Linked DNA regions of Diceros bicornis minor. The protein of the gene in region 3 purifies or fractionates together with the protein of the main gene of each other region. This does not show direct contact. Links are inferred from orthologs where the notes say so. Each region holds a gene or a part of one and is shown on either strand. Other genes may lie near its edges.

Region 1 (8,012 bases), on a different chromosome or scaffold from region 3:
GAATGGGAGGAGCAGTGGCTTTGCCACAGGTCGAGGGTTCGAGTCCCAGCTCTGGGCACTGGGGACATGCCTGGGGAAAGACAGAGCATGCTGCTCCGGGAGCCGGGGTCGAGGGGCACACGGGCGTCTCCCCGGGCCGCGCAGACCCCAGGCCCACCCTCACCTGACTGGTCCCACTCGAGGCAGGTGATGGCCTCACTGTGCTCCGAGCTGACGGAGTGCACGTCCCAGGGGTGCTCCGTGTCCAGGATGTGGATCATGCGGGTCAGGTCTGTGGGGGAACAGGGCACCATCAGCACAGCAGCAACGACACAGCCCCCAAGCGCCCGACCACCAGGCGGCTCAAGGAGGAAGCCAGTGGACGGCCCACCCGCAAGGAAGTCACAGAGCCGCCGCCAACCATGCCAATGCCCCGGGGCAATGGAGGACCAGGCTCATGTCCCACCTGGAGACCGGAGCGGGCCTGTGACCATGCCACCAGTGCGGCTATGACCACGTTTTTAAGAGAGACACAGAAAAGAGAATTGCAAGAAAATGACCCCAAAATGTTAACAGTGAGCGTCTCTCCGTGGAAGGTAACGGCTGGTTGTTTCTCTTTATCCTGAATTTCTGTGCTTTTCTGGTTTTCTCTGACGACGGAGAGAAGACAGCAACTGCCATGCACGTTAGACGCTACATTAAAGACGAACGATGACATGTTTGGTCCAGAAGACTGGGGATCCCGCCCCTCACCCCACTCCATCCCGAAGGGTGATCCCAGCATCCCCGGGCACCGGGCGTGGGAGCGCACCACAGCTGCCCTGTGCACCCTGCGGGGCTGGGGCCGTCACATCCCCAGGAGCGGAGGGCCTGGACGGTGAGGGTGCTCCCTGGCAGGCCTGGGGACCCTGAGGACCCCACAGCAGCACTGTGGGGGCCAGGCTACGACACTGTGTCGGGGGGCCGGGGGCGTACCCTGGTCGTCATTCCGGAGATCCGTGGTGAAGGCGATGAGGTTTCGGCAGGACCAGGCACAGGCCAGGGGCACCGACGGGCAGTGGGTGCTCTTGGGCCATTTTTCCCACTCGCAGACGTAAGCCAGATCCATGGTGCCCGCCTGCCACGGCTCCCACGGCGAGAACAGTCACCAGCTCCTGGGGGAAGGAGGAGGGCTGGCTCGTCATCCACGTTCACGGAGAACCTGCAGGGCACCGAGTGTGGGACAGGACGCCAGGTGACCACAGGGAGTGTGTCTAGTGAGTGTCTGTGTGTGTGTATGTATGGGGGCCGTGACAGGGAGGCCTCACCAGGGAGAGTATACTGAGCGTGGGTATGAGGGAGCGAGGCAGGCAGATGTCTGAGGAAAGAGCATTCCAGGTGGTGGGAACAGCCAGTGCAAAGGCCCAGAGGCTGGATGGAGCCCTGTGTGTTCAGAGAGTGGCTGGCTGGCCGGAGTGGCTGGAGCAGAGTGAGTGAGGGGATGGGGCAGGCCGTGCAGTGCCCCGAGTGAGGTGGGAGCCTTGGGAAGGCCGTGACCCATCTATGTTGCAACAGACCCTTCTGGCTGTCTGGAGTGCGCAGCTAGGGGATGCAGTGGGGACTGCACTAGTCCAGGCGGGCAACGACGGGGCCAGTGGATACTGCAGGGAGAGGTGGGACCCCCCGTCTCTACCAGAAACATGCAAGAGCACGGTGGTGCTGTCTCTGGCTGAGATGGAGAGACAGGTGGGGAGTGGGCAGCTTACTGGGGGTGGCCGGGTGGCTCTCCACATGCCCAGCCCAATTATAGGTTGTTTCCTTTCACCACAACAGAAACCCAATGAGATGGAACAACCACCTACCCCATTTCTTTCAACCACCACCCCTAGGGCACCCTATTCTTCCAGCCTCGCCCCAGAACACCAATGTCCTGCCCACAAGCCCTCAATCCCCATCCCCTACATTCTTTGCTTTCCCAATTTGCCCCCCGGAGCCCCCAAGCCCGGCCTAAACTCTCGGGCTCCAACCCAGGGACCCCAAACAACCCCCAGGTCCCACCCCCAAGCCCTCCAGCCCCGCCCAACACTTTTTGCTTTCCAGACTGCCCCACCAAGTTCTCCAGGTCCTGACTCTACTTGCCCCCTGGAGACCTCAGATCCCACCCCAGGAACCCTACATGATCCCCAAGCCCCGCCCCCAAACGCCCATGCCCACCCCCAACGCGACCCAGGCACCGCCCCTCAGGAGATACACTCTCCAGGCCCCACTCCCAAGAGACACAATCTCTCGGGAGCTACAACCTCCAGGTTCTGCCCCCAGGAGTTACAACCTCTAGGCTCCGGCCCCAGGGAGCTACAACCTCCAGGCCCCGCCCCCCGGAGTTACAACCTATAGGCTCCGCCCTCGGGAGCTACAACCTCCAGGCCCCGCCCCTGGGGAGTTACAACCTATAGACTCCGCCCCTCAGGAGCTACAACCTCCAGGCCCCGCCCCCAGGAGTTATAACCTCTAGGCTCCGCCCCCAGGAGTTACAACCGCTAGGCCCCGCCCCCCGGGGGTTACACCCGCTAGGCCCCGCCCCCAAATAGCCCAGACCCCGCCCCCGGGAGTTAGAGCCTCTAGCTTCCGCCCCTCAGGAGCTACACCCTCTAGTCCCCGCCCCAAGTCGCCCAGGCCCCGCCCCCAGGAGTTACAACCGCTAGGCCCCGCCCCCAGGAGTTACAACTGCTAGGCCCCGCCCCCCGGAGTTACAACCTCTAGGCCCCGCCCCCAAATAGCCTAGGCCCCCCCTTCATAACCCCAGCTCCCCGAACTCACCGCGACCCCCACTTGGACTCATGCTTCCCCTCAAGTCTCGGCCACAACCCCCGAGCCCGCCCAGCGCGCGCCAGCCCGCGTACCCAGCACCCTTTGCTCTCCAGACCCGCCCTCTGACCCCACAGGCCCCGCCCCGGACCCGCGAAGCCCCGCCTTCTCCGGGCCGTGCTCTCCGGGGCCGCGGGCGCCGTCCGGAAGCCGTCTGACCCCCGGGCTCCGCAGCCCCGCGCTCACCGGGCCAGCCGAGCGCCCAGCCGAGCAGACGGCCCGCACTCGCCCTAACGCGCCGGCTCCGGCGCCGCCATCCTCCCCGCGACCAACAAGACGTCCGCGCAGCGCGGCCGCTTCCCGGAGGCTTCTGGGACGGCGGCGGCTCCTGCTCTGCCGGCTTCCGGGTTATTTGCATATGCTTATTAATAATTCCCAGCAGCCACCTGAATTGTATTTGGTAGAACAAAGAACACTTTCTCAACTCCGGTGCGTGACCCCATTTGGCTACGCTATGTGTTGCGCTGATACCTAAAAAATAAGTGAGTTACTGAACTTGCTCAATGAAATTCACCCTTAGTGTAAAGTTATTGATAGTTTGCACTATAAATATCTCTCTGGGTAAACTGAGGTTCGTGCTCGCTTCGGCAGCACATATACTAAAATTGGAACGATACAGAGAAGATTAGCATGGCCCCTGCGCAAGGATGACACGCAAATTCGTGAAGCGTTCCATATTTTGCGCCTTGTTTTTCTGGTATCCGCAGGTAGAGAAACTTTTTCTGATATCTACGGGTGGGGAAACTGAGGCTTGATAAGCCAAGTGACTTACCCAATCGAGGGCCCTTCTGGCTGCAAACCCCATCCCGGACTCCTCCAAAAGCTGGTCCCATTCGCATTTGCTTTACATTTCTTTTTTTTTTTTCCTTCTATTGAGGTCACATTGGTTTACAACATTGTATAAATTTCAGGTATACATCGTTATATTTCGATTTCTGTGTAGAAGACACAGTGTTCACCACCCAAAGACTAGTTATCATCCGTCACTGTGCACCTGTGCCCCTTTACCCGTGTTACCCTCCTCCCACACCCTGCCTCTCTGGTAACCACCAATCTCCTCCAAATTTATGTGTTTGTTTATCTTCCACATATGAGTGAAACCAGGCGGTGTTTGTCTTTCTCTGTCTGGCTTATTTCGCTTAACATAATACCCTCAAGGTCCATCCACGTTGTTGCAAATGGCATGACTTCATCTTTTTTATCACTGAGTGATATTCCATGGTGTGTATATACCACATCTTCTTTATCTATTCTTCCCTTGATGGGCACTTAGGTTGCTTCCAAGTCTTGTCTATTGTGAATAACGCTGTGATGAACATAGGGGTGCATGTATCTTTATGTATTTGTTTTTTCATGTTCTTTGGATAAATACCCAGCAGTGGAATAGCTGGATCGTATGGTATCTCTATTCTTAACTTTTTGAGGCATCTCCATACTGTTTTCCATAGTGGCTGCACCAGTTTGCACTCTCACCAGCAGTTCGTGAGGGTTCCCTTCTCTCCACATCCTCTCCAACACTTGTTGTTTCCTGTCTTGTTAATTATAGCCATTCTGACAGGCGTGAGGTGGTATCTCAGTGTAGTTTTTATTTGCATTTCCCTGATAGTTAATGATGTTGAACATCTTTTCATGTGTCTGTTAGTCATCTCTATGAAAAATGTCTGTTCATATCCTCTGCCCATTTTTAAATTGGGTTGTTTGTGTTTTTGTTGTTGAGTTGTGTGAGTTCTTTATATATTACAGAGATTAACCCCTTGTGGGATATATGGTTTGCAAATATCTTTTCCCAATTGTTAGATCATCTTTTCGTTTTGTTCATTGTTTCCTTTGCTTTGCAGGAGCTCTTTGGTCAGATGAAGTCCCATTTGTTTATTTTTTCTTTTGTTTCCCTTGCCTGAGGAGACATGGAATTCGAAATGATGCTGCTAAGACCAATGTCAGAGAGTGTACTGCCTATATTTTCTTCTAGGAGTTTTGTTTTCATGTCTTACATTCAACTCTTTAATCTATATTGAGTTAATTTGTGTATGGTGTAAGATGATGATCTATTTTCATTCTTTTGCATGTGGCTGTCCAGTTTTCCCAACACCATTTGTTGAAGAGACTTTCCTTTCTCCATCGTATGTTCTTGGCTCCTTTGTCAAAGATTAACATGTGCACATAAGTTCTTTTTTCTCAGGATTCCTTTGGCTCTTCGGGGTCTCTTGTCCCATGCTTTACATTTCTGTTTTTCATAGCTGGGGAAACTGAGGCTCTGATAAACATGGTGACTTGCCCAGTCGAGGGCCCTTCTGGATTCAAACCCCATCCCCAGTTCCTCCTCCAAAAGCTGCTTCTATTCCTGCCCGACTCTCCCCAATTGGAAGGTCTTCTCCAGGAAGCCCTCCTGGGATTGCAGGGAAGGGCACACTGGGCAGAAGGCACTGCCTGGGCAAAGGCCTGGTTCTTGGGAACGGAGCTGGGGAAAATGGGTGGAAGGAAGCCCACCGCCCCACAGTGGCAACCGCGAGACTGGAAGGGCAGCCAGTGGGCGCCCCCAGAGGCCCCGCATGCCCGCCCTGCGGCCCAGCCCTGTCCCCTGGGAACTGGGAATTCGTGCCCTTCACAGACGGGGCCTCCCAGCTGGTGACCCAGTATCTCCTTTTGTCCTCCTCCCAGCCATTTGGGTTTCCCTCCTCCAGCATCTATCTTTAAAACTTTGTAAATGTCCGTTCACACGGAAGACAGCGCCCCCAGCGCCCCACGCTGGCTTCGAATCCGGGCCCGGGTGGGAGGAGCCGCGCACCCTGAAGCCCAGAAAGTCAGGCCGGACTCACAAACTAAAAACCCCACCGGGATGGGGGCCTCCGAGAGACAAGGAGCTGCTGAAGGAGCTCTCGGCCGCCAAACCCGCAACAGTCTGAGCAACGAAATAAAGTGATGTTGGATTATAACCCAGACCAGAAAGTAAATACCCCCTCGAGCCTCGTCGTGTATGTGGTTGAATAAACACACGTGGAGAAGAGACAGTCCTCCCCTGTGGAATTCCCAGTAAATCAGGCAGAGGCTCTGCCCTCATGAAGACCGCTTCCCGAGGACAGTGTGGAGGGGCAGGGACCCCCCAGTGCAGGGCCCGAGTAGCGCCCCTCCACCAGGAGGTCAGGGTCCCCGTCAGCAGGGAGAAGCCGCGAGGACAGCAGGGACCCCGATGTGGCGCGATGACAGGGCACGTCCCTTTGTCCGATCATGAGAAAACCCAGGCTGGGGACGTCCTGCAGGACACCGGCCAGTCCCAGACACACGCAGGGAGAGTCCACGTGACGACGGAGGCAGAGATGGAGGGACGCGGCCACAAGCCCAGGACGCCTGAGCCTCAGAGGCTGGGAGAGGCGGGAGGGAGCCTCCGGAGGGAGCACGGCCCTGCGACACCGTGACCTCAGATGTCTGGGCTCCAGAACTGGAGACAGTGTATTCCTGTGGTTTTAAGCCTCAGTGTGGGGTACTCTGTCCCCAGGAAGCTCACACGAGTGACTTTTTGGAGGTCACACAGCCGGGAAGTGGCGGAGCTGGGTCTGAACCTGGGCTCCCGGGAGGGGGACGAGCCAGCGGGGCAGAGCGAGCCCCCGATGCTCCCGGCAGTCTCCCCGGACACCCGCCTCACCCCTGGGGCGTCACTCAGTGCCAAGCCCCATCCCCGAGCCTACAGCCTCAATGACCAGGACCCCAGCGATCCCGAGCCTCCTGCGCCCCCAGCCCCGCACCAAAGGGAACCCCACAGCTGAGACAAGAGCACCAGAAATTTATTGACTCTCCACTCTTCCCAAAGCACAGCTAGCCACACACCGGGGGCGGGGGGGGGGCAGCCCTGCTCTCGGGGGCCGGGCCAGGCCAGGTGGCCCGCCGGAGGACACCCCAAAGCAACAGGCTGGGGAACATGGAAAGGGAACCGGGTAGTCCAAGGGCGGAGGCTTCTGGCTGGAAGTCCCGGACTCCCAGTAGGAAAAGACGGGAGAAAAATGGGGAAGGGCAGGGTATACAGCAGACAGGGCCCCAAGAGCCACCAAAAGACACCAGCGGGGGACAACACACATTCCAAAAAGAGAGTAAAACCAGCCTTTAAAACGCAGCTTCCGTCCTGGGTCGTGGGGCACGCGCACGCACACACAAGACGTAACACTCCCAGGGCGGGGGACGAGGCCCCAGAGACCCCCCCCATCCAAGCCAAAAACTGGGAGGGGGGTGTCAAGCAGGGACTGGAACAAAGCCCCCCGATTTATCAGTTGGGGCGAGTTTGGTTTTTCTTCCCAAAAGGGAAATTTAAAAATCTACAACAAATCACACCAAATTCATTAAAAGTGATAAAAAGCCAGCCTCTCCCTCCTCGCTTAAGCCTCAGACTGGACGGAGAAAGCTGAACGAAGAAGGAACATGGAAGTGACCAGGCCCGGTCTCCCCGCCCAAATACAAGTCCCAGAGCGAGGAGCTATGGGGCCTGGAAAGGCCAGAGCAGCCCCAGCCACCAGAATTTATCTGGAAGGGCTGGGCAGGGAGGGGGCTGGGGTGAGAGAGAGCCACCCCAAGGGGAAGATGACGTTTCCAAAGACGAATTCTAAAAATAATGAAGATATTCTGGCGGGTGGCACGGAAGGTCCGGTGCCGGGGAGGCGGTGGGCGGGGCCCGGCGGGCCGCCATCAGCTGCGCTGCTCCAGGTAGGCGGAGAGGAGCAGCCCGGGCGGCAGGAAGTCCAGGTGCCGATTGCTGACCTTCATCTGCCGCCTGCCCTCCAGGTCAGCACCTGCGCGAGGCGCCAGCGGGGCGAGTGAGTCCCCACCTTTGCAGAGAAGCACCCCCGGCCCGGCCCCTCCGCCCGAGTCTGTGGGAACAAAGGCGGGCGTGGGGGCCGCAGGAGGCATCCAGAGGTTGCCATGGAAACCGTCTCCTTAGCAACTCCGGGCAGGAGGCGGAGAGACAGGCGTGGGGAGCGAGGACCCGATGGGGCGCCCAGGGCCAGCAGGGGCCTGCGAGGACCCTCCCTGGGGGGCTGTAAAAGCGGGGACACAGGCCCCGGCAGGGGGCACTTGGTGGAAGTCACACGTGTGGCACAGTGGAGGAGACAACGGCTAAATGAGAACGCTGCAGACACTGGGGTCCCCTCATCTCATCTCAGGGTCCCTGGGGGCCCAGCCTCATCCCCCAGGCCCCTCTCTGC
Region 2 (7,901 bases), on a different chromosome or scaffold from region 3:
AATGAGAACAGCGTGGCTGGAGCTGAGTAGATGGGATGGGGACAGGCACAGATGGGGATCACTGGGATATGGTCAGAGAAGTAACAGGTGATGAGGGCAGATCATGTAGGCATAAAGAGAACTTTGGCTTTTACTCTTGAGTGGAGGAATGTCATGAACTGATGAGGATGCTGGAGATAACTAGGTTGAAAAGCCATGGTTATACCTTTTCCATAGTGCTATGCACATAGGAAGCAGCCAATATATGTCAGCTCATTCCTGGGGAAATAGTAGTTTGTAACACTAAGGTTGAGAGCCTAGCATTGCATATAACAGGGGGGAAGATCTATCTTAATTCCCATCAGGTCATTCTAGAAAGCTGAGGAAGGAACTGTGTATGAGTATGTGTGCTTCGCTATCCATGTCTATGGTCTGCTGTCCTGATGAAAACGGGCCAAGAACTGGTCTTACTCCTTTGAGCCTAGTCTAGTGATTGGCTGGGAAGCATTAACGTGTGAAATTTTCTCCTCCTTTGCTACTATTAATTGTAATAACTGGCGAAACTCACCATGGAGAAAGAGTCCACGAATTCAGAAGGAAGCACGGTGAAGAGACAGGCGTGGTGTCAGAAGGCACTGAATTTGAATCTGAGTTCTGCCATTTGCTGGGCGCTTGGCTTTGGGCAAGTCACTTTACCTCTCTGAACCTCTTTTTCCTCCTCTGTAAAGTGGAGCTGGTAACAGCTACCTTTTAGCAGTATTTGGCATATTTACACACAGGTAGTTAAAGTTGTTGGTGTGTAGCAACTGTTCAATAATTGGTAGCTATTGTGATGTGTTCAACAAAATTTCTGAACACCTACTACATGTAAAGCACATTGTTACGGACCAAATGTCGGTGTACCCCCCCAAAATTCATATGTTGAAACCCTACTCCCCAATGTGATAATATTAGGAGGTGCGGCCTTTGGGAGGTGATTAGAATTAGATGAGGTCCTGAGGGAAGTGCCCTCATGAATGGATTAGCGCTTTTTTTTTCTTTTTGGTGAGGAAGATTAGCCCTGAGCTAACCTCTGTTGCCCATCCTCCTCTTTTTGCTGAGAAAGGTTGGCCCAGAGCTAACACCTGTGCCCATTTTCCTCCATTTTATATGTGGGAGGCCTGCCACAGCATGGCTTGGTAGTGCTACAGCAGTGCATAGGTCCACGCCCGGGATCCAAACCCTAGGTCAAACCCTAGGCCACTGAAGCAGAGCATGCAAACTTAACCACTATGCCACGGGGCTGGCCCCAGATTAGTGCTCTTATAAGAGTTCTGAGAGAGTTTGCTTTGCTCTGTTCTTCACCACGTGAGGATACAAGAAGTTGGCAATCTGCAACTTAGAAGAGGGATCTCACCAGAACCCGACCATACCAGCACCCTAATTGCAGACTTCTACCCTCCACAACTGTGAAAAATAAATTTCTGTTGTTTATAAGCCACCCAGTTTATGCATTTTGTTATAGCAGCTCGAGCTGACTAAGACACATATATATAAGGGCTGGCCTGGTGGCATAGTGGTTAAGCTCACACACTTCACTTCAGCAGCCCAGGGTTAGCAGGTTCAGATCCTGGGCATGCACCGATGCACTGCTTGTCAAGCCATGCTGTGGTGGCATCCCATATAAAGTAGAGGAAGAGGGACACAGATGTTAGCCCAGGGCCCATCTTCCTCACCCAAAAAAGAGGAGGATTGGCACTGGATGTTAGCTCAGGGCTAATCTTCCTCACACACACATACAATAAAAAAAAAAAAAATAGAAAAAAGACACATATATACAAAGAAAATACATGATTCCTCCCTACAAGATGTTTACAATCTATCCAAGGAGATGAAACATGCACAAAATATATTCAATAAGACAGAATGTGCTTGCTCAAATGAGTGATTTAAAATATAATAATAGCTACCATTTATTGATTGCTTACAATAAGCAAGGGACTATGCTAAGTGTTTCATAAGCATCTCATTTTATTTTTGCAATCTCTGTTTTAGAAAGTACTATTTTTACCTCTATTTTACAAAAAAGGAAGCTGAGGCTCAGAGAGGGGAAGTGAATTGCCCAAGGTTGCACAGCTGGGTAGCGCAGAGGACAAAAGTGACCCCATTCTAAGCTCTAGGCCTCACATTCTTATCAGAGAAACCCATCCATATAACTCCTAGGCCTTGTCCAAGTTTTACCATATTGTTCATTCGTTTCCTGTCCATCTTTTTTTTCTTTTTTTAATTTAACCCTACTTCAAAATGCCAGCTAAAATTTGGGTAAATACTATGGTGCCTCAAAGGACCCATAATTCACTGGACTTACCATGCTGAAGTTAGTGTCTGTACAGGAAAAGAGAAGCCCAGCAATTTGCCAACCTCCTCCAATCATTACAGCACCGAGAGCTTGTCACTCTGCTCAAAACTGTGAATCATCAGGTTGATCAGGAGGCACATCCCAAGCCCTGGGGTATATGCAGCTCTAATAACTGTTGGAGTCCTGTGCAAAGCCCAATTCTTGGCCGTCTTCTCTTCCTATTCTACACGCTCTTTCAGGGTGATCTTATTTATTCTCATGCCTTCAGCCACCATCTATGAGGCTCTGATTCTGAAATCTCTCCCCCCAGCCTAGCTCTCCCTCCCCTGAACTCTGGCGGGGCACTGCCACTTTCGTGTTTCATAAACACCTAATGCTCAATATATCTAGTACACATGAACTCATCTTTCCTGCCTCACCCACACTGCTTTATATTTCCTAGCTCAGAAAAACACAGTACCATGTCCACCTAAGGTAAAAATCTAGACATTTGTGATTCCCTCTCTCTGTCTTTACCTCTGGTTAGTCATCAAATCATTCTCTTTTATATTTTTCAAATCTGTCTTTTCTCCCGAAATGATCTCCCAGCTGGAGTTATGCCAAAGCTCCTAACTGGTCTTCTTTCTCCAGGACCTCCTTCTCCAAGCTTTTCTCCACATTGTAGCCAGAGCTTTTTTTAAAGCACACATCTGTTCTTTAGTCTGGCATGCAAAGTTCTCCAGGATCTGGGTCTTATCCTTTCTCCAGACTCATTTCTTACCCCTCCTAACCTCAGATTCTATATCCTAATTCTACTAAACTCAATGTCCTTTTGTACATGTTGTTTCCGTTACCTGGAATTTCCTTTCCTCCCTTCTTTATCTGGCTAACACCTACTGATCCTTCAAGTTACTTTGGGCATTAATTACTTTTTCCAGGATTCCTTCTCTGTCGCCCTCAGGATGGATCAAGTGTCCTGTTTGCTTCCAGAGCAGTTGAGCTGTTTATATCTCATTATCCTATTGAATCAAATCACATGGTGCCATCTCCTTAGTTTACTGATTCCTACAACTTGCCTATAAACTCTTCTGAGGGCAGAAATTGAATCAAGTCAACAGCTAACAGAATGTCTACAGCACAAACACTTTCAAGAAATGTTCGATTAAAAAAAAAAAGAATGACTGGGGGGGCTGGCCATTGGCATAGCGGCTACGTGCACACGCTCCACTTGGGCGGTCCAAGGGTTCACAAGTTCAGATCCCCCGCACACACATATGCACCACTTGTCAAGCCATGCTGTGGCAGTGTCCCATATAAAGTACAGGAAGATGGGCACAGATGTTAGCCCAGGGCCAATCTTCCTCTGCAACAAGAGGAGGACTGGCATCAGATGTTAGCTCAGGGCTGATCTGCCTCATCAAAAAAAAAAAAAAAAAGAATGATTGGGAGGTAGTGTAGGTTACAGCAGGGGAACTAGAGGTACAAGAGGCAGTATAGTAACTGAGGGTGGGCTCTGAAGTCAGCAGCTTAGATTGCCAGCCTCTCCACTCGCATGTTATTTAACAGCCCATTTCCTCAATTTCCCTGTCTGTAAAATTACAGTAATAATTGTATTTGGCTCATAGGCCTGCTGTGGGAATCAAATTTAAAAAGTTAATATTTTGTTCATTAAGGATTTTTTGCACTAAATTTGTAAAATATTGCATTAAAATATTATCTTGGTTACTGAGTTTTTTCGTGTCGCCATAAATTTTTCGCTTCAGCAGAGTGCCTCATTCACCTTACTCCAGTCCCCATTTAGCACCTTATATGCTTGACACATAAACAGAATTTTACAAATATTTGTTGAATTTACTTCTCTTCCTACATTTTTTAATTGAAGTAAAATATACACAGTAAAGTGAACAAATATTAAGTGTATTACCGAGCTCCCTAGATGTTCAGAACATTATGCTAGGCAGTCAAGGGTCTTTCCTTTTCAACTTCAGGGACCCAACAAAAAGAAGTCTTTTATAACAGTCTCGCCTTCTCTTTTTCCTGCAGCTCCCTTCCCCAGGCTCTCTTTTCCCCTGGTCAGTTCCAAGACTTTTCCTAGGCAAAACCATCTCCAGGTCGTCGAGCTTGAAAAAAATAAAATGTTTTCCTGGAGTACGGCCTATGACGTCAAGCCCCAGCCCAGTAACTCCCAGAGGAACGCTCCAAAGTAAGCCGCCATCTTCCACACAGCTGCGTCGCTTCTTGCGCATGCGCTTCTGCTTGCCAGGTACCAAAGAGGGCGATTTTATGCCCTCTCGGCACCCTTACGTTGCGGGGCGGGTGTGTAGACGTTTGCGCCACGTCTGGTTCTTGGCGGAAGTGGGAAGAGGAGAAAGCCGAGTGGTTTTATTATCCAAGGGTCTTGAGCCTTAGGACTGGGTGCTAATTGTCGCTGAATAGCTCCGAGGTGCTCGGGTGGATATAATTCTCCGCTTTGCGAGAAGAGACTAGAGCGCGCGCGTAGGTGTGTTTCTGATGTAAGTGGGCACGTGTCCTCAATCCTGGCTTAGGAAGACTTAAAACATCATCTTAAAAGAACAACTCGCTTCCGCCTCGCTCGCTTTAAAAGGCGTTTTCAGAAAGGCGGAACGCCTAGATTTTAGTGTGGTCCAAGCTCTGCCACCGACTTGCTATGTGTCCTTGGGCCCCTCTCCGAGTCTCAATATCCTCATCTATAAATTGAAGGGTAGACAAGGTCCCTTAAGTCACCTTTCAGTTCTTCTGAATGTAATTGTATGTCCATTATGTCATCTGAGGCACAAAGCCTTGGGGGTTAAATATCCTTGACCCCATCTTATCGGGAAGACATTGAGTGAGAGATTTGATGACTTCCTCAAGATTGCACTTTTTTCAAAAAAACCTAGAAGTTTCACACTTTGAGACTAGAAGGTTATGCTGTAACTCCATGACCAGTTCTCCTTTGTATATTTCTGTATCATCAGTTCCCGAAACTGGCCATATAGCAGTTACATAGAAAGTTTTGAATGGACAAATAAGTCTTTTGATGTCGGGGCTAATGACATGAGCAGATCTGATGTCTCTCCACTGTGATATATTAACAAGTGTAACTCTTCTTCAGGTGTATCCTGTGCTTTATTTGACTTGGGACTCTGAATTCATTTTTGTCGTCTTCAACTTAATCAGACACCATGGAGGCACCTCCAGTCACTATGATGCCTGTCACTGGGGGCACCATTAACATGATGGAGTACCTGTTGCAGGGTAAGTGAATCAGGGGGCTTGGATTACCTGTTTTCCTCTTTTCTATTCAGCTTCCGTGGAGCTGAGAGGCTGCTATACAAAGGCAGCCTGCGTGGTTTCTGGCACCCATTAGACAACAAATTACCCATTAAACACTAATTCTCCCAACCCCTTCCCCCAGCCCTTGGGCAACCACCTTTCTACTTTCTGTTTCTGATTTTCAATATTTTAGATACTTCATATGAGTGGAATCATGCAGTATTTATCTTTTTATGACTGGCTTATATCACTTAGCTTAATGTCCTTGAGGTTCATCCATATTGTAGCATGTAACAGGATCCTCTTTTTAAAGGCTGAATAATATTCTGTTGTATGTATATAGCACATTTTCTTTATCCATTCCTCTGTCAGTGGACATCAGGGTGGTTTCCATCTCTTGGTTATTGGGAATAGTGCTACAGTGAACATGGTGTGCAAATATCTCTTCAAGATCCTGCTTTGAATTCTTTTGGATGTATACCCAGAAGTGAGTTTCCTGGATTATATGGTAATTCTATGATACTATTATTAGCTCCAAGTTATAGATCAGGAAACAGAGGTAAAGTAACTTGCCCCATTGAGGAAACGCAAAACCCAGAGAGGGTAATGATTTTCAAAAGGTTATATAATGTTTAGTGGAAGAGTTTAGACTTTAATTCACATTATTCATTCAGTAACTTAATACGAACAAAATAAGGTTATTAATTTCCACCCCTCAAGCTGCCCCTCCTCATCTTTGCCATCTCACTATGAAATGAAATGAAATGAAAGTGCCTCTGTCATTCACCAGTCGCTTGAGCCGAGCATTCAGGAGTCAATCTCCATTTTTTACTTTACTCCCTCATCCAGTCCATCTCTAAGTACCATTCATTTTACTTCCAAAATATATTTTAAATATCTTTTCTCCACCTGTTGTACCACAGGCTGGCCCCTAGTCATCTTTTTTAAAAATTGTTTTATTACTAAAAAATTTAAACATAAAATCAAGACTAGTATACTGAACACTCCATATCCATCATCTGGATTTACCAGTTTCTATCATTTTGCCATATTTGCTTCATCTTTTTTCTTATGCTGTTTTTAAAGAAAATTTTAGACCTCATTAACATTTTATCCCTAAACACTTCAGTATACATCTCTAAAAAGAAGGATATTTTGGGGCCGGCCTGGTGGCGCAGCTGTTAAGTGTGCGCACTTCACTTCAGCAGCCTGGGGTTCGCAGGTTCGGTCCCACGCATGCACCGACGCACCGCTCGTCAAGCTGTGCTGTGGCGGTGTCCCATATAAAGTAGAGGAAGATGGGCACGGATGTTAGCCCAGGGCCAATCTTCCTCAGCAAAAGAAAAAGGGGAGGATTGGCATCGGATGTTAGCTCAGGGCTGATCTTCCTCACAGAAAAAAAAAAAAAACAAGGATATTTTCCTTCATAACCCCAATACTGTCATTATTATCTAAAAAAAATTAATAATATATTTTTACTATCTAGTCCATATTCAGAAGTTTCTTCCCAATTGTCCCAAAAATATGTTTTGTAACCAGGATCCAATCAAGTTTCATACATTACATTTGTTAGTTGTCTCTCTTTTTTTTTCTTTTCCTGAAGTCTCTTTTAAATTGGACCAGTCTCCCCTCGCCTCTTTTTTTCCTCCCCCATAACCGTATCTTGTTGAAGAGTCCCTACCAATTTTCCTGGAATGATCTTTTTAAAATGTAAATGCAGTCATGTCTTTCCCTGTTGTGTGGAGAATGAAGTGTGGAGCTAGTAGCTGCCCAATGACCTTAGAATAAAATATAACCTTTACCATAGACTATATAAGGCCTGCATGCTTTGGCCCATGCCAAATCCTCATTTCATTACCATCTTCTATCTTGCTCACTACCTTTCAGCGACATTGATATCCTTTCATTTCCTTGAGTTCCTTAAGCCTTTTCCTGCCTCCGTGCCTTTGCACTTGATGATCTGTCTCCCTCAATACTTTTTTCCAGCCCTTCAAATAACTATCTCATTTTCATCCTTCAGGTCTCAGCTTAGTTGTCATTCCCTTCAAGAGACCTTCTCTGACTACTCCAACCCCTCAAAGAGGTCTCCTCTTCTCCACCCCCCACCAATTGCTCTCTAATCAGTCTCCCTTTTATTTTCTTATATTCTGTTTACTTATTTATTGTTGTTTCCTCCACTAAACTATAATCTCAATGAGGACAGGGCCCCCTACTTCCTAGCATAGTGCCTGGCACAGCATGCAATAAGCGTATGTTGAATGAAGCAACACTTACAAAGCTCCTCAAATGTTTGAGGAGTGAACAAACACGTCTGACACTGTCCTGAACG
Region 3 (7,848 bases):
CGAGCACAAATCTGACCAAGGCTCCCCAGTTTGAAAGTTTCCCTAGCTCCCCATCCCTCAGAGGACAAAACCTCACTCCCTGAGAGGGATGTGCTGTCCTCCCTATGCTGGTTCTTCCCACCCTTCCAGTTCTCCCTTCCTTGGATTTATGCTCCAACCCCACCAAACTGAGAGTCGACCCCCATGAGTTGATGCTATTTCTTGGCTCCCCACCATCCCTCTCTCCTTTCATAATTTAAGACTCGTGGTTGGCATCACCCCTTAAGGAGTCTTCTGACTCCTCCAGGTTTCACGAGGTCTCCTCTCTCATCACTGCCCTCATCAGTCTGTCTCCTTCCCTCATTAGCCCATAAACTCAAACACATACCTAGACATGATATTTTAAAATCGGATCCTAGCCTTTTTTCATGGTGATAGCATCTCTCCTTCTCTCTATGCATACTGTTTCTTCCCAGTGGCTTTTTCTGCTCTTGTTTTGTCCTGTCTTTCTTACTAGGGGTTTTCTTCACATGCTTAGTGACCCTGGCTACCGGGTCATATGAACTGACTGTGGTCTTTCTTGGGGAGCCCCCAATGACTTTTCTCTTGGGCTGGTCAGACACCCCAGAGAAGGTACATCTATTCTCTTTGGCTGCCAGTCTAGAAGCCAGGTAGGGGAAGAAGGCTAGAGTGGGGTCTCAATATCCAGTGTGTGAACTTTCTCTTACTCCCTATTTCCAACATGGCTCCCTTGAACTCCTGCACTGTGCCTGGTGTCCCCCGAGTCCAGATAATCTTTGGCTTATTCTTTCCAAAGAATAAATCTCGGGAAAGAGCAACCCTTTAATTGCCTGCCAAGATGGAAGAAGAGCAGTCACCTGTCTGCTTCAAGTGAGGAGAGAGGACTGTGGGGATCTGCTGCTTAAGGAGACTTTTAAGTAATCCTCCTGTTCTTAGTCCCCCGTCACCCCTATTTCCAGAGGTCCCTGGCAACGCCAATTCCTGAGACGTGGGGGGAAGCCACGGTCAAAGGCAGGTGCTTCTGCCAACCAGGGGCTGATAGGTGGGTTAGCCCTTGGCCATCTGCTTTGTGGCAATTATCTCCTCTCCTGTTCTTTTTGGGTCTATGCTTTAAAAAAAAAACCTCTTCACTGTCCTTTTAGAGGAAACTGAGACAAACATGAAATCAACCCACCATCTCTCACAGGAGGATGCTCTTGAGTAGACCTCACAACAACCTTACCATTTAAGTATTATTAGTTCCATTTCACAAGAGAAAAAGAGGCTCAGAGAAGCTAAGTAGTTTGTCCAAGGTCACCCAGCCAGTACGTTATACGGCTCTAGTCTGAACCCATCGTTTTGAGGTCTGTTATTATTATTCACATATTAGAGATAAGAAAATAAGGCCTAGAAGGGTTACATGTTCTCCCAGACTACAAGGCAAGCAAGCGTCAGCATGAGCCTTGAATGCAAGACTGACTGCAAAGCCATGCTCTCTCAGGGGTACCTTGCTGCCCCTTCTTTAAGGCCAGCCCAGCTCAACTGCTCTACTGGGGCTCGAGAACATACTCTGCAGGCTCCAAGAACCGTCCTTGAGAATGTGTACATTTTGTGCTTTCATTCTTCCATATTTTTCTTAAAACCGGTGTAAGAGTATTTGCATTAATCTGGACAGCCCCTTTCCAGTCCAGTACTGCGCTGGGGCTGCAGGGTCGGCGTCCGCAACTGTGTCTGCAATCTCACTGCCGCTGCAAACTGCTGCCTGCTGAGCACAGGCTAATGAGAGCAGACCGGAGTCTGCCTGACCCTATAAACAGGATGCTCACCCCGAGTGAAGCCACATGAAGTCAGGGTCTAACGCCAGAACAAAGGCTTTGTGTTGTCTGAAAAGTGGGGGAAGAATCGGGTCAGCCCACATCAAGTGAAGTAGTCCGGCTACACTTAAAGGCTGGGCCATGAACGCCACTTCCCTGTCGTGAGCAGAAATTCCATCTTAGCAAAACACCCAAGAGCACAGTGACGTTCACCTGAATGTTGCCGTAACAGTAATCTTCGTTTTCATTTACTTTGTTTTGGTTTTTAACAGCTGAATAAGAGTTACGAGCCTAGGAGTTTACACCTCGTATCGTGCGGATATAAAAAACAGTAAAAACAATTCAGGCTAACATGGGGATCAGCAAGACTCTTCACTGTGTTCTTTTTTTTTTTTCTTTCACAGGGTCAGTTTGCAAACTGAGACTAACCTGAAGGCTGGTCAAAAGGATGACAATCCCCCCTTTGAGACTATGTGAGAACACAGTTAGTACTACAGGGGTCGATTTGGTGGAGCGACGTCTGTGTCTCGCTGTCTGCGACGTTTCCCACCCTCCCCCCTCCGGCGTTTCTGAACTACGGGTCATTCCCGCTCGCGTCTGCCTCTCCCTCCAGCCGAGGAGACGCGTGAGAAGGGCTGGTCAGCCGGCCCCTCCTCCTCCGCAGGCCCCCAGCACTCAGCAGTGCGTCGGGCGGGGCACACGAGGCACCGTCGGCTCTGCGAGAAGGGGAGCCAGCGGGCGCCCCCCCGTCACGGAGAAGCCGAGGCTCAGACGCCCGAGCCGCTCGTGACCAGCAGGACGCACACTCGGGCGGCACGGCAGCGCTGTGGCTCCGAGAACACCGCCAGGCCGTCCGTCGCGAGGTCCGGCAACGCCAGGGCTCAGAGCGTTTGCCGGACTCACGGGCCGAGCCGGTGCGGTCCTGGGAGAGGCCTCGCCCCCCGGCCTCAGTTTCCCCATCTATAAAACGGGGGCGCACCCGCGAGCGCCCGCACGAGAAGCGGGAGGGCGTGTGGAGCTGGTCCTCTCCAGCCCTTACCATTTGATGATGTTGTGAACCAACGGCAGAAAGGAGAAGTTCTCCTCCTCCTTCACGCCCGCCGGGGACTGAGGCCTCGGCGCCGGAGACCGCTGCGGCTGAGGCGCGGCGACCGGCGGCGGTGCCTGCGGAGGCAGCAGCGACTTCGTCTCGGGCAGCGGCGGCTCGGCCGACGGCGGTAACGCATCCTCAGCCTGTCGCCCGGCGGCCACCCCGGCGGAGGCCATGGCGCTCAGGACCGGTCACTCAGACAGCCAGCGAGACCCGAGCGGTGAGCCCGCCGAAAGCGTCGCGCTGCCCCTACGTCACTACCGCGCGCCCGCGGGGACGGGAACCGGAGAAAGGCTGTGAGCATGCGCACCAGGGCGTACGCGGGGCAAAGGCACGGGGCGGGGCGGCTGTTACTAGGTAACAGGAGGTCGGCGAGTCTGCGGTGTCCTGGGTTTGGTTGCGTCGAGAGAGCTAAATTATTAAATAGTCAGGAGATTTATTACAGAAATAACATCTTATTCCTTTTCACGTGACGACGAGGGTCCAAAAGCAACTAATACAGGAAGCGTGCGATGAATAAGGCCCAGCACGGCCCAGCCCTGGGAGAAGGCCGCCCGAAGAACCAACTTGAACCGCGCGCGGAGTGGACCGCCGTCACCGGGCGCCTGCTATGTGTAAGGCGCCGGCCCTGCGGGCGTCGAGAATGCGGAGAAGGACCTGCAGCGCCTGCACCACGCGGGAGCCTCCAGGGGGAGAGGCGGCAGACCCTGGCCGGGCGGTAGTGCCACAGCGCGTGCCAGCCCTGAGGACGCAGACACCAGAAACGGCGTCCCCCAAAGCTCCGCGGGGCTGGGTAGGGAGGAACTAGTAATTCAGTATTTAATATACATCTCCTGGAGCTGCTCTCCATACCTGTGGGCGACTTCCTTAAGCCCCTAGGTCCCAGCCGCCTCGCCTCTATAATCTTTAGTTCAGGGTCATGGCAGAGCCTAATCTGCTTTCTAACTTCAGATACATGGCTGACCTCCAAAGGTCTAGTTCACATGAGGACCCCCTAGGATCCTAGGCCAAAGCGGGTTACTTTTGGTAGATTTGTCGTTATGTTCCTCAAAACAAGTATGATATGGGGGCTGTATAATAAATTTCTGAGCAGTGGGGACACTGATCCTAAGCTTAGCTAATGAGTGGAAGAAGATGTGAGCTAGGAGAGCCCCATCCTTCCTTAGTCTACCATCCTGGGCCTTTAACAGAGGCGAGGAAGTACACATTCAGGTAGCAAGATGAGCAGTAGCACTTAAGAGCAACGTGGCCTATCCCAAGGAAAGCATCAATGCTAGTATTTTCGGATGCATCAGGAGGGGTTTATGGAGGCAGGTGCTAGGGGAGCAAGACCATAGAGGGAAGTAGATGTTGGAGAGTGTGCTGTAGACGCCCTTTAGTCATGGGCCTCAGTGCAGCGTTCTTCAGCAAGAGCTGCCCAGAGCACTCCAGAAGGAGAGCAAGGGGAGGGAGAAGGCTGCAGGGTTTTCTTCCTGCCCACCATGGACCTCTCCACCTAAGGGAAATGTTTAAGAGTCCTGCTAGATAATGGAGGAGAAAGGCCTGTTGGGATAGGACAGATGTGCTTGAAAAGAGTACACCCTTGGAGTCATCTGGGGAAAAAAATGATGGTATAATAGTAATAATAATAATAGTGATTACCACAACTACGGTGGAATAAAAATAGGGACAAGGAATAGAGTCACAGTCTTTATCTCATTTAATCTACAAAAGAGGGCTAAAAGTAGATGTTAGTATCTCTCTTTTATAGATGAGGAAACTGAAGCTTACAGCAGTTAAGATACTGGCTCTGGGTCACATGGCTTGCTTGACACCAAGCCTCTGGTCCTAACGAACACATAGGAGACCTCAGGTTCCAACCAGTTCTGTAACTTTATGATTCAAAATGGTAAAAGTTAGATTTTTATTCAGAATTCAAAAAGCAATCCGATATTCATCAATAATATCTCCATGGCAATGACACGTCCTCTTTTCCCTCCCAGTGTGTTTTGTAACTTAATTACAAACCCCAGCTTTATCATCAGCAGGATAATGAAGACGTCTCTTTTTAAAAAAAGAAAAAACACTCCAGGTATAAATAGATATGGCTAAAAAAAACAAATTGGAATCGTAGGAAGCATGAACAAGTAGAGTGCATTGACAATTTGCCATAAAAATAGTTAATCTAATTAGTGGCAAAGCGTAAAGCTGACTCTACAGCATTGCAAGCGGATGTCAGAAAAATAATATCTGGCCTGTGTTGGTTTCATTAAAGCTAAAATTGCCACAACAAATGTGTGTCTGTTCATAACCGCTTTGTTAAAAGTCAAAAAGGGTCCACTGATATGTAAGGACGGTATATTGTTAGAGATGCCACCAAGTTAAGCTATCTGGTTATTGCTTTCTTAGGCAGAGTTAGGCTGTTTCTCATAGAGCCTTTCCAGGCAAGTTGGTGGTTACAAGTTCTGGCCAAGGAGCCTGCCTGCCTGACTTGAGTCCCAGCTCAGTCTGTTTGAAGTTGTGTGACTTTGGACAACTGCACAACCCCACTTTGCATAGCCATGCAACCTCCCAGGAGGACCGAATGCATTATTGCATACAAATCATGGAGAAAAGTATCTGTGCACAGTAAATATTAGTTCTTGTTATTCAGATTTAGGGTTTGCTCCTTCACCAATTAATAAAACCCGGACTGATGGCAGTTAACAGGAATGATCTAGAATCAGAGCTCTCCAATAAAATATAATATGATCCATAAATGCAAGCCACATATGTCATTTTCAATTTTCTAGTAGCCACATTAAAAAAAACAAGTGAAATTAATTTTAGTATGTTTTACTTAACCCATTATATCCCAAAATTATTTCAACATGTAATCAATATTAAAAATTATTAGAGAGGTATTTTACTGTTTTTCATACTGTCTTTGAAATCTGGTATGTACTTTACATTTACAGCACATCTCAATTTGAATAGCCACGTTTCAAGTGCTCAGTCATCACATGTGGCTGGAGACTACAGAACTGGATGGTGCAGTTTGAGAGATGAATACATATCACTGTAGACAAAACTCACAATCAAAATGGTGAGAGGAAAAAAGCAAGTTGCACAAGAGAAATAGAGTATGTTACTACTTATGTAAATATTTGAAGCATGAAAAATAACACTATACCTCATCCATAGATATAAGACATATATAAAAAAAGTTTTTAAAAGGAACTGAAAGGTTTACTACACATTCCTGGGACAGGGGATGGGAATATAACCAGCACTGCAACTCTCTGTGTAATGTTATATTTCTTTTATATATTGTGAGAGGACTTAAAGCAAAAAGGAAAAATATGGACAATTGCCAAATATAGAAGTGGGTACGTGGGAGTTTGATACATTAGAATCCAGGTTCTGCTAGTTTCTGGCTGTGTGACCTTGGACAAGTCATTTAACCTTCCTGTGCCTCAGTTTCCTCATCTGCAAAATGGAATCATAACAGCCCTTTCCTGATAGGGCTGCTGTAAGGGTTCCAGGAATTCATGTCTGTAAAAAGCTTTGAGAGTAAGCACTATTTAAGCTTTAGCTTTAGGAGCTTAAATAGCTCCTATTTTGGAGATAGGTGCAAAAATAGCCATCTCTCTGTCAGACAAGTGTCACGGGGATTGTTAAACTGGTCATGTCATCGAACCATCGGGGGCTTTGTCAAAGCTATGTCCTTACACATGATTCATCCTTTTCTTTGATCATCTGGAGCCTCGGGCAGGGTGGAAAAGCTACATGATACTTTGATTTTTGTGAGTTAAAAAAAAATAGGGAGCAATCATTATTCAGGCCAAACGTAGCGCAGCACGTGCCAAGAGTCAGCTCCCTCCAGCGAGACGCATGCTTACGCCTCAGAACAAAGCCTTTGCTTCAGATCTGCCTTGAGATTGCTTTTCTTCTCTCTCTGAGCTCAACTAAATTTATTTCTTTTTGTTCCTTTCAACTGTTCTGTCGTTACTCCAAGATACTCCATTATGCCCATTTCTCAACCCGCTTGTTTCAGTGGTTTCATTTCCAGAAGCACTCTTGATGGGGTATTTCAGCACACAAATTCAACCACATTTCTTTCAGACTCAGAATTTTCTCCTTAAGTCCTCTCCTTTAGTCCTTATTCCTGCTTACTATGTTTCGCCAGACCTCCACCCGCTTTTGATATGATACAAATGAGAGGCAATCCATTCCAGGAACTAGTTTTTTACTAAAATGGTTCATTTTTGTTGTGATATCATATTTGTTCCAATCTCTTTACTCAGTCATTTTCACTCAAATTATTTGTTAGCCAAGTTTTTTTTTCCTTTCTACCAGCTGTTCCCCCAAAGCCTCATCCTTATCTCCTTCTGTTAATCCTTTTTAAAAAAATAACCTCTTTCTCATGATGGCCTTTTGGCTTTTTCTCACTCTTCAGTCCTCCCTTTCTCTAGAAGTTGCCTTGTTTTCTTTATTGGATTTATTGAAAGTCTTTCGACTCTTGACTACTAACTCCAGTTGCAAAATTGCAGTTAAAAATTATTGGGCCGGCCCCGTGGCTTAGTGGTTAAGTGTGTGTGCTCCGCTACTGGCAGCCTGGGTTGGGATCCCGGGCGCGCACCGACACACCGCTTCTCCGGCCATGCTGAGGCCACGTCCCACATACAGCAACTAGAAGGATGTACAACTATGGCATACAGCTATCTACTGGGGCTTTGGGGGAAAAAAGGAGGAGGCTTGGCAGTAGATGTTAGCTCAGAGCCGGTCTTCCTCAGCAAAAAGAGGAGGATTAGCATGGATGTTAGCTCAGAGCTGATCTTCCTCACACACAAAAAAAATTATTATGCAACTGGCATGCTGAAGAGGATAGGACCTTCGCTGCCCATGAGTGCTGTGTGGCTGGTCTTCGTGGTTCAGGCCCGTGGCTGGGTTTCCAGACCTTTTGGGACAGGAGGAGATAGCCCGTAACTACAGACATTCAGAATA
Region 4 (7,728 bases), on a different chromosome or scaffold from region 3:
GGAATTCAAGTATGGAATAGGTGGCTGGACTACAGTGATATTTATGATTTCTTCCAACCTCAAAATCTAGGATTCTGTAAATGTCTCCCTAACTAAGATAACAACCACAATGATATAAATGGGTTGTTAGCAGTGAAGCCTACCAAATGGAACACAGAACTTGATGCCATATAGATTCATCCCTGAACTGCTTCTATGAATGAATGAGAACTGAGTCTAAAATGTGTTCCTTTCCTGTGTTCTGCCAATTAAGACAGTACTTGTGCAGTTGAAAGTAAGTGTTTCTTAAGATATCAAATACATACACAATTTTCTTTTGTAATTCCAGGGGTGTCATGAAACCAGTGGGCATCTTTCACATCTTCTGGGGTCAACTGTACTCGTTTGGTGGATTTATCTGCCACAACAGGTTCATTTCCCATGTCAAAGGCAAGTGAATCAGCATCAAACTCAAAGGGAGCTTCATCCTTCCGTTCTTCTGAATACAAGAATGTTCTTCCAACTCTTCCTAGAACAAGTTAGATTGAAGTTATTAGTCATTCTTTTAAAGCTTTTGATTCCAGACAGGTAATTCTTATGTTTGCCTCAAACAAATTACTAAGACTAACTGTAGTGTATGGAAGTGAGACTACAATGATACCTTTGCTTTTTTCCCCAAAGGCAGGGGGCCAGAATCTTGCAATGATCAAGTGAGTGGCTGGTTGTGTACACTGGGTGGGGGGAGAGGGTGTTGGAAATCAAACTGTTTTCAGTAAAGGAAGGTTGAAAAGAGATACCAAGGAATGGGTGACAATCTACAGTCATGTGCTGCATAATGTCATCTTGCTCAACGATGCCCCCTTTTTTTGTATTTTCTTGTGAGCCTAAGTATCACATATTTATCATTTCCTTTTCATTTTTCTTAAGCAAGTTCACAAACGTTTTTTATCCATTTTTTTAACTTCTCTAGTCTTTATCTTTTTTAATCAGATTTCAAATCCTTAAATCTTACTAGAATTTTGTACTTCTTGGCTTCCTTTTCTATCTTCTCTAGTCTATTTAGGAACTCTTCATCTCTAGAAGCCAGAGGACTCATAACTTTTTCTCATTTTTTGCTGAGTATTTGGGGGAAATAACGAAACTGAAGACCAGAATTTAGAAAGGGGTTCTTCCAGCTCTTTACCTGCTCCTGGAATGGGTGACAATCTACAGTCATGTGCTGCATAACGTCGGCATAATGTCTTCTTGCTCAACGATGCACCACATACATGACGGTGGTCTCACAAGATTAGCACTATATAGTGTAGGTGTGTAGTAGACTATATCATCTAGGTTTGTGTAAGTACACTCTGTGATGTTCGGACAATGACAAAATGGCCTGATGACACATTTCCCAGAACATCTCTCTGTGGTTAAGTGACGCATGACTGTAATTTAAAGCTGCTGCACGGAGTCAACGACCTGCACTGGTCTGCAGAGAGGGGGGCTGTATCTTTTTTCTTCTACTGCTGACAATGGCTGGGTGGGTGGTTATTGCATGTTTCCTTTCCTGGATTTCTTCAAGATCTACTGTCTCAATTTTCTCAGCACAATGAACTCTGGATTCCCAAACAGTAGTCTTGCCTCTAAAGGGCCTCTATGTTCCAGAATGAGGAAAGCAGTCACTCCCCACAAAAACTGGCTAGCCCCAGACAGCTATATTTCAGGTTGCTCAACAAAGAATTTTAGCAACAACTCAACAAGAGTTTTCCTATAGAACATGCTTACCTACTACATAGCCATGCTTTTTCAAGAGATTAAGTTGATTTTGTTCTTGCTGACTAAGATCTTCTTCAGCTTCAGCTGCATCTTTTTTAAGCCTTTTTTGCCTTTTAAACATTCTGTAAGGAGTTGGATTGCAAATAGGAAACTTCAGAAGGTTTAATGTAGTACCTGAAATACCAAAGAATAAATATGTTTTCTAAACACTGTACAAGAAAAAGGAATAAGAGGAGGAAAACTAACATCTTTGAGGAGCTACAATGTCTTGGGGACTGTGATTTATTTCACTTAACCTTCATAACACTCTACAAAATTATTCTTATTTACAGATGAGAAAATTGGCTCAGAGATTGGCTCAAAGTCTCAACCAGGATTTGAATCCTTAGATTAAATCCCAGGATTTAAATCTGCAGGCCTGATTTCTTTCCATTTTCACATCCTACCATCCAGTATAAAAGCACTTCTGTGTATAATTCAACCAAAGTCCAGGACAGAGAAGAACAGCTTATCAAAGTTAAACCCTGGTTTCAAAAGAACTAATGAGGCAGTTTTGCCAACTGTTAAATACAAAGAGGGTCACAGAAGAACCCATTTTGCAATCACAGAAGTTTCATAAAGCCACAAAGTTGACATTTCTTTCCAACAAAGCTACACATCACATTGCATTAGTGAATTATTCAAATGTTAAACGTGCATAGTATACTGATCTCATGAATCAACTCAAGACATGAAGAGTAAGATTGAGGGGTGAGGGAGGTTTAGAAAGTAAAAGGACTTTCCAGAGAAACATACAAAGAAGTAAAGCTACAAGAGAAACCTCCAAGAGAGCAGGAACTTTGTTCCTCTGTTCATCTACAGTGCCTAGAACAGTGACTGGAACATACAAGTGCTCCATAAATACTTCTTTTAGAAAATTACTGAATTTCCAAGCACTAAGCTGACACAGAAGAGAGGTGTGACCAAAGTAGGAAGACAGTTTTTAAAGGGAAGGCTCCAGACAGCCTCTGGTGGACAATAAGGAAGGCTATACTAGGTGCCTGGGCCACGACCAGACTTCTAGCTTCTCAGACAACGAAGGGGGTGGGTCTCCTAAGGCTCACCAGGCCAAGGGGAGATGGTGGCTCTGTCGATAGCCTCAGCGCCCTTGGCGATGCAGTAATCGGACTCCAGGAGCGTGTTGAAGAGAGTAGACTTGCCAGCGTTGGTGGCGCCAACCAGGTAGACGTCACCACGGTAGCGCCAGGAGCGCTGAAGCGCGGAGATCAACTCTTCAATTCCATAGCCAGTCTTGGCGCTGATGAGCCGCACATCCCTGAGCACCGTGCGGCACCTGGCCGAAGGGTTCGAATTCTCCTCGTCTTGTGGCCCTCGGTGGCCAGGGAGCGGCAGGAGCCCTGCGCGGGCACAGTCGTCCCACAGCCGCTGCCGGAGCCGCTGCCGGTAGCCGGGAGCGTCCTGGGGCAGCAGGTCTACCTTGTTCCCCAGAACGATCAGCTGCTTGGGGCCCACCAGCGCAGGCAGGTCGGGCAGCAGGGCGTCGGGCAGATCGAGCACGTCCACCATGTAGAGCACCAGCGCGGGCCCGGGCCGCCGCAGCGCGGCGCTCACCAGCGCCAGGTACTGCTCGCAGCTCACCTGCAGGCGCAGGGCGCGCCGGTGGTGCACCAGCAGCCAGCAGCGCTGGCACACGGTCCGCGCCAGCCCGCCGTCGGCCTGCGCCGCCGCGCTCAGGAACTTCTCGCTGGGCAGGTAGCCGGGCACGCCGGGGTCCTGGCAGTGCAGCTCCGCCCCGCAGCCCGAGCAGTTCAGGCCGCTGGGCGGCACCGTCGGGTCCGGGTGCCCCACGACCGGGTGCCCCCGGCGGCTGGCCCGTAGTTTCTGCTGCCGCCGCTCCTCCCGCCGCTGCTGCTTCTGTCGCTCTTCCTCCTCCTGCCGCTCCTGCAGCTCCTGCAGCTGCTTTTCGGGGGTCGGTGCGGGCTCCGGCTCCGGGACGTACTCGGGGAACAGAAAACGCTCCTCCATGTCAGCCCTTCCTTCGTAACCCCCAGTCCCTGTCGGGTCACGAGGAAGCCCACGTCCCAGGCCCGATGGGTGCCGGCAGGAGAAGGGAGCCGCGCATCTCCTCTCGAGGAGCGGCTCCGGGAGGCCATGGCGCGCTACCTTCGGTGCGGATCCCCGCAGGAAGCCGCACAGAAGCCTACCAGTGAGGCGTGCGGGCAGCATGGGGAACACGGCCCAGAGCAAAGGGGCGGAGCCACGTGCGCGCACGCGCACTGGGGCCAGAGGCGCGCGTTAAGACCTACAGGCAAGGCCGCGGCTACCGGAGAGCTGTCATTTGTCAGCCGCCGCACTTCGTCTCCTCCTCCAGCGCCTAATCCCGTGAGTTATCGCGATGAAGGCTCTGAGGCTTCAGAACCCACTTAAAGCTGCGGCAAAGGTACCGACGGCCTAGACTTAGCTGAGGGGGCAAAAAAGGCTAGTGAGTGAGGGTTTGTTCCCTTTTAGGCTTCTTCAACGCGCCGCCGCTGGCGCAACCTGCCCTTAATAAATCGCATTTTTAAAGGCTTCGTGGTTTTTGAAGCCTTTAGAAATGCAAAAAATAGAGCATCGAATGCCGCAAACTCAAGGCTACAATTAAAATTAATAAATCTTCTTGGCCTTTTTTTTAGGTGTCATTTGTGCAACAACATTAAAAAAAACTTTCATTGGCTGGATCGCACCCTCACTCTGTAGGAGTCATCGTCGCAATCAGCCGCAAGAGGCGCCGCCCACAATTTGCGCGTGCGCAATTGTAACCCTTAGCGGCCCTTAGCCTACCATTTGCGCAGGCGCAGATGTTACCTAGCTTCTCTGTGGGCGGTCTTTGGCCTCGGACGCGGAGTATTCTGGGAACGCCGGAGACGGAAGTCACTTCGTTTAGGGCTCCGAGACGGAGTGGTAGCTACGTGCTTTTCTCTCTGTGATTTTTAAGAGTTAGCAGCTCGGGAACCGTTTGCCAACATGTATGACGCGGACGAGGGTAGGTGACCACTCAGAACGCTCCGCGGCGACCCTTCTGTGGAGGGAAATGTGGGGAGCTGGACGAATTGAGGATTTGCGGCCTCCCCCCCCAGCCCGCCGCACGAGTGACCCCAAGTCGTGTTCCCCACATCCCCCAGGCCGGGAGTGAAGCCGCGATGGGGAGAGGTGGAGGGTGCAGGGAATGTAGCATTACTGTTCCCGGTCAGGGTGACGCTTGCTCTCTGCACTGTCAGCTGGATAGATCTGATACCGCCTTCACGTATTGAGATAACGTGCAGAACCATAAAACAGTACCATTGTTTTGGCTTTGTCTGAAGCAAAGGGCTCCCTTCTTGATTTCTTATGAGGCTAGGGTTAGTGGATTTATTGAATATTTGAATTTTTGAGCGTCAGTTTGTGCCAGGCATTGTGCTGGGCTCTGGAAATATACCGGGGACAAAGAATATCGTGTGTGTCGAGAGAGTGTTGGTCTAGTTTGGCATTCCTTCATGCCGTCGTATGTCTAAGTGAATTGTCTTAGAAGATGACCTTTAGATTTTCTCAGATGGTATGTATTCAACTGAAGAGGACCAATATATCTGTTTTTCCTTTCAGGTATAGAAGTCTTAGTCATGTCTAGTGTATTTTCGTTAGGTATTTTTAAACCTCCCTCTTCCATTCTCTACAGCTACTGTATCAAACCTCATTTTCTTCTAGTTCCCAATCCTGTGGCCACCCCTCACATTGCTGCTTATTCCCTTAGCTTCTTCATGGAGAATACAGAAGCAAAAGCTTAAGATCTACAGTTTAAACTTCTCTTTTTCATTTATATCTTGAGTCTAGAAATTTATTAGCATCATTACATTCCCTTTTCTTAACTTCTATCTCAGAAAAAAATTCAAAATTTTTTTAGCAGAGTTTTTTGTGTAGATAGTATATATTCTCATGGCTCACAAGCTGGAAAGTATAAAAATGTTAAAGTGTAAGGTTTCATTCTTGTCCACTGTCTGTCTAGTGTGAGCCCCCTTCACTGTAGGTAACCACTGTTCTTAGATTCTTATCTCTCCAGAGTGCTTTATGTATATTCAAAGAAATATAAATGGAATTCTATTTTCCCCCTTTTTACAGACAAAAAGTAACATTCACACTTTTCTGCACTTTTACTTTTTGCTTTTTTAATATATGTATCTAGGAGATTTTAATATCAGTTCATAGAGCACATCCTAGTTTTTTTTCTTCACAGCCTGCCTAGTTTGTATGGATGTACTATGACGTAGTAATGTCTTACTGATGGATATTTGGGTTATTTCTAGTCTTTTTCTGGTTCAAACAGTGCTGTAATGAATAACCTTGTGCATGTCATTTTGTCCAGTACAAGTATGTCTTTAGGATAAATATGTAGAATTCTACATGTAGCTGTAGAATTGTCAGGTCACATGATATACATGTTTAACATTTTGCTGGATGGTGCCAAGTGACCACCATAGTGATTGTACTAATTTATATTTTCCTTAGCAATATAATAGTCTTGTGGAAAAAGAGTTAAAGTTATCCCATTTGTCAAGTCTGCTCCAGCATTGAGTACATTCCGTTCCTGCCTGTATCCTTTGATATCTTTATTAAATATGTCCTCATCAGTTTTCAGACGTTCCTTTTCACCTGACTTCTTTCTATGCAAAATGTTAGATCTCTCTTGTCCTCAAGAAAACAGGTTAAACTCTCTATTGTTTCCTTTTTCTTCCATTGTTTTGCCTTTCTCCTTTCATTCACAACCAAGCTTTTAAAAAAGAATAGGCTGTCTTCGTTGTTTCCAATTCCTATCTTTCAGGTTCTCAACCTATTACAATCTGATTCTGCTCATGTGATATAAAACAGCTCTTAAGAATATTAGTGATTTCTCAATTGATAAATCACATGGACATTTTTTAAACCTTATACAAACCCTGTGGTATTCAACATTGTTGATGACTTCCTCCTGGAAACTCTCCTTCCTTCTGCCACGTCACTCTCACTTAATTCTTTTTACCTGTCTGACTTTCCTTCTCATTCTCTTCTACTGTTCATGTTATCCCTGGGATAATTTCATCCATTCTTCATGGCTTCAGTTACCATCTGTATGTGGATGACTTCTGAATATATATTGCCAGTTCAGATGTCTTGCGTATCTAACTGCCACTAGATAACTTCGCTTGAATCTCTCCTAGGCCTCTCAAACTTGTCGCTGCCCAAACTGAGCTCACTATTTTCCTTTACCCATCACCCTTCCAAAGCTGCTTCCTCCTGTGTTCTCCCTCTCAGTGAATGGTATCACCCTCTTCCATTGTTGAAGCCAGAAGCCTGGGCATCATTCTTGAATCCTCTCTTTCGCCCCTACGTCTAATGAGTCACCAAGCCCTGAGGCTTCTGTCTCCTAAATATGTCAAATCTGGTCACTTCTCTGCCACAATTCTAGTTCAGGCCACCACCATCTCTTGCCTAGATTACTTCCTCAGACTTGTAACTGGTTTGTGTACTTCCACTTTTCTTGCCTCTCCAGTCCACTCTCCACACTGGCCATAGTGATCTTTCGGAAATGAAAATCTGATCTAGCCACACCCTTGCGAAAATCTTAGAATGGTTACTCAAAGCTCTGTTGGTAAAGACCAAACTCTTTTACCACTCTAACTTTACACTCCTTGTCTCAGCTACATTGGCCTTCTTTCGTTCCCTGAATATCTTTCATGGTGGAGTCTTTCGCACAAGTTGTTTTTTCTGTTGAAGATGCTCCTTTTCTACCCCTCCACCCTCACCCCCTCCTTTGCCTCGTTTATTTGGATTTATTCATACATGAGGTCTCTGCTCAGCTCAGCTTTTGGAAAGTCTTTCCTAACCTCCTCAGGTCCTGGTTAGGATTGTCATCACTTGGTTCTTGCTCATAATTGACTTCATCTTGTCTGTATTTCCCTGGTAGGTGATAATCTCCATGAGGATGCAGCCATCTTTTATCTT

Evidence for each region.
Region 1: the proteins of MED9 (region 3) and MED16 purify together in Homo sapiens (affinity purification with mass spectrometry; 5 studies listed by BioGRID and IntAct, with this or other methods). This does not show direct contact. The link is inferred for Diceros bicornis minor from reciprocal best matches to the Homo sapiens genes MED9 and MED16.
Region 2: the proteins of MED9 (region 3) and MED18 purify together in Homo sapiens (affinity purification with mass spectrometry; 6 studies listed by BioGRID and IntAct, counting the BioPlex papers as one, with this or other methods). This does not show direct contact. The link is inferred for Diceros bicornis minor from reciprocal best matches to the Homo sapiens genes MED9 and MED18.
Region 4: the proteins of MED9 (region 3) and POLR2B purify together in Homo sapiens (affinity purification with mass spectrometry; 4 studies listed by BioGRID and IntAct, with this or other methods). This does not show direct contact. The link is inferred for Diceros bicornis minor from reciprocal best matches to the Homo sapiens genes MED9 and POLR2B.

Annotation. Positions count from the first base shown.
Region 1 is NW_026691553.1:469,849-477,860, forward strand, and holds the start of MED16 (mediator of RNA polymerase II transcription subunit 16), read right to left. Parts: upstream 3,108-8,012; 5' UTR 3,010-3,107; intron 2,795-3,009; exon of another isoform or gene 2,776-2,794; intron 1,181-2,775; exon of another isoform or gene 1,134-1,180; 5' UTR 1,088-1,133; coding exon 955-1,087; intron 272-954; coding exon 164-271; intron 1-163. Other genes in the region: R3HDM4 (R3H domain-containing protein 4), read right to left, coding at 7,495-7,598. UniProt on the Homo sapiens protein: Component of the Mediator complex, a coactivator involved in the regulated transcription of nearly all RNA polymerase II-dependent genes.
Region 2 is NC_080752.1:43,723,114-43,731,014, forward strand, and holds the start of MED18 (mediator of RNA polymerase II transcription subunit 18), read left to right. Parts: upstream 1-4,643; 5' UTR 4,644-4,796; exon of another isoform or gene 4,797-4,809; intron 4,810-5,411; 5' UTR 5,412-5,481; coding exon 5,482-5,554; intron 5,555-7,901. UniProt on the Homo sapiens protein: Component of the Mediator complex, a coactivator involved in the regulated transcription of nearly all RNA polymerase II-dependent genes.
Region 3 is NC_080757.1:945,574-953,421, reverse strand, and holds the start of MED9 (mediator of RNA polymerase II transcription subunit 9), read right to left. Parts: upstream 3,114-7,848; 5' UTR 3,060-3,113; coding exon 2,833-3,059; intron 1-2,832.
Region 4 is NC_080747.1:44,466,893-44,474,620, forward strand, and holds the start of POLR2B (DNA-directed RNA polymerase II subunit RPB2), read left to right. Parts: upstream 1-4,492; 5' UTR 4,493-4,740; coding exon 4,741-4,759; intron 4,760-7,728. Other genes in the region: NOA1 (nitric oxide-associated protein 1), read right to left, coding at 306-508, 1,747-1,911, 2,841-3,963. UniProt on the Homo sapiens protein: Catalytic core component of RNA polymerase II (Pol II), a DNA-dependent RNA polymerase which synthesizes mRNA precursors and many functional non-coding RNAs using the four ribonucleoside triphosphates as substrates.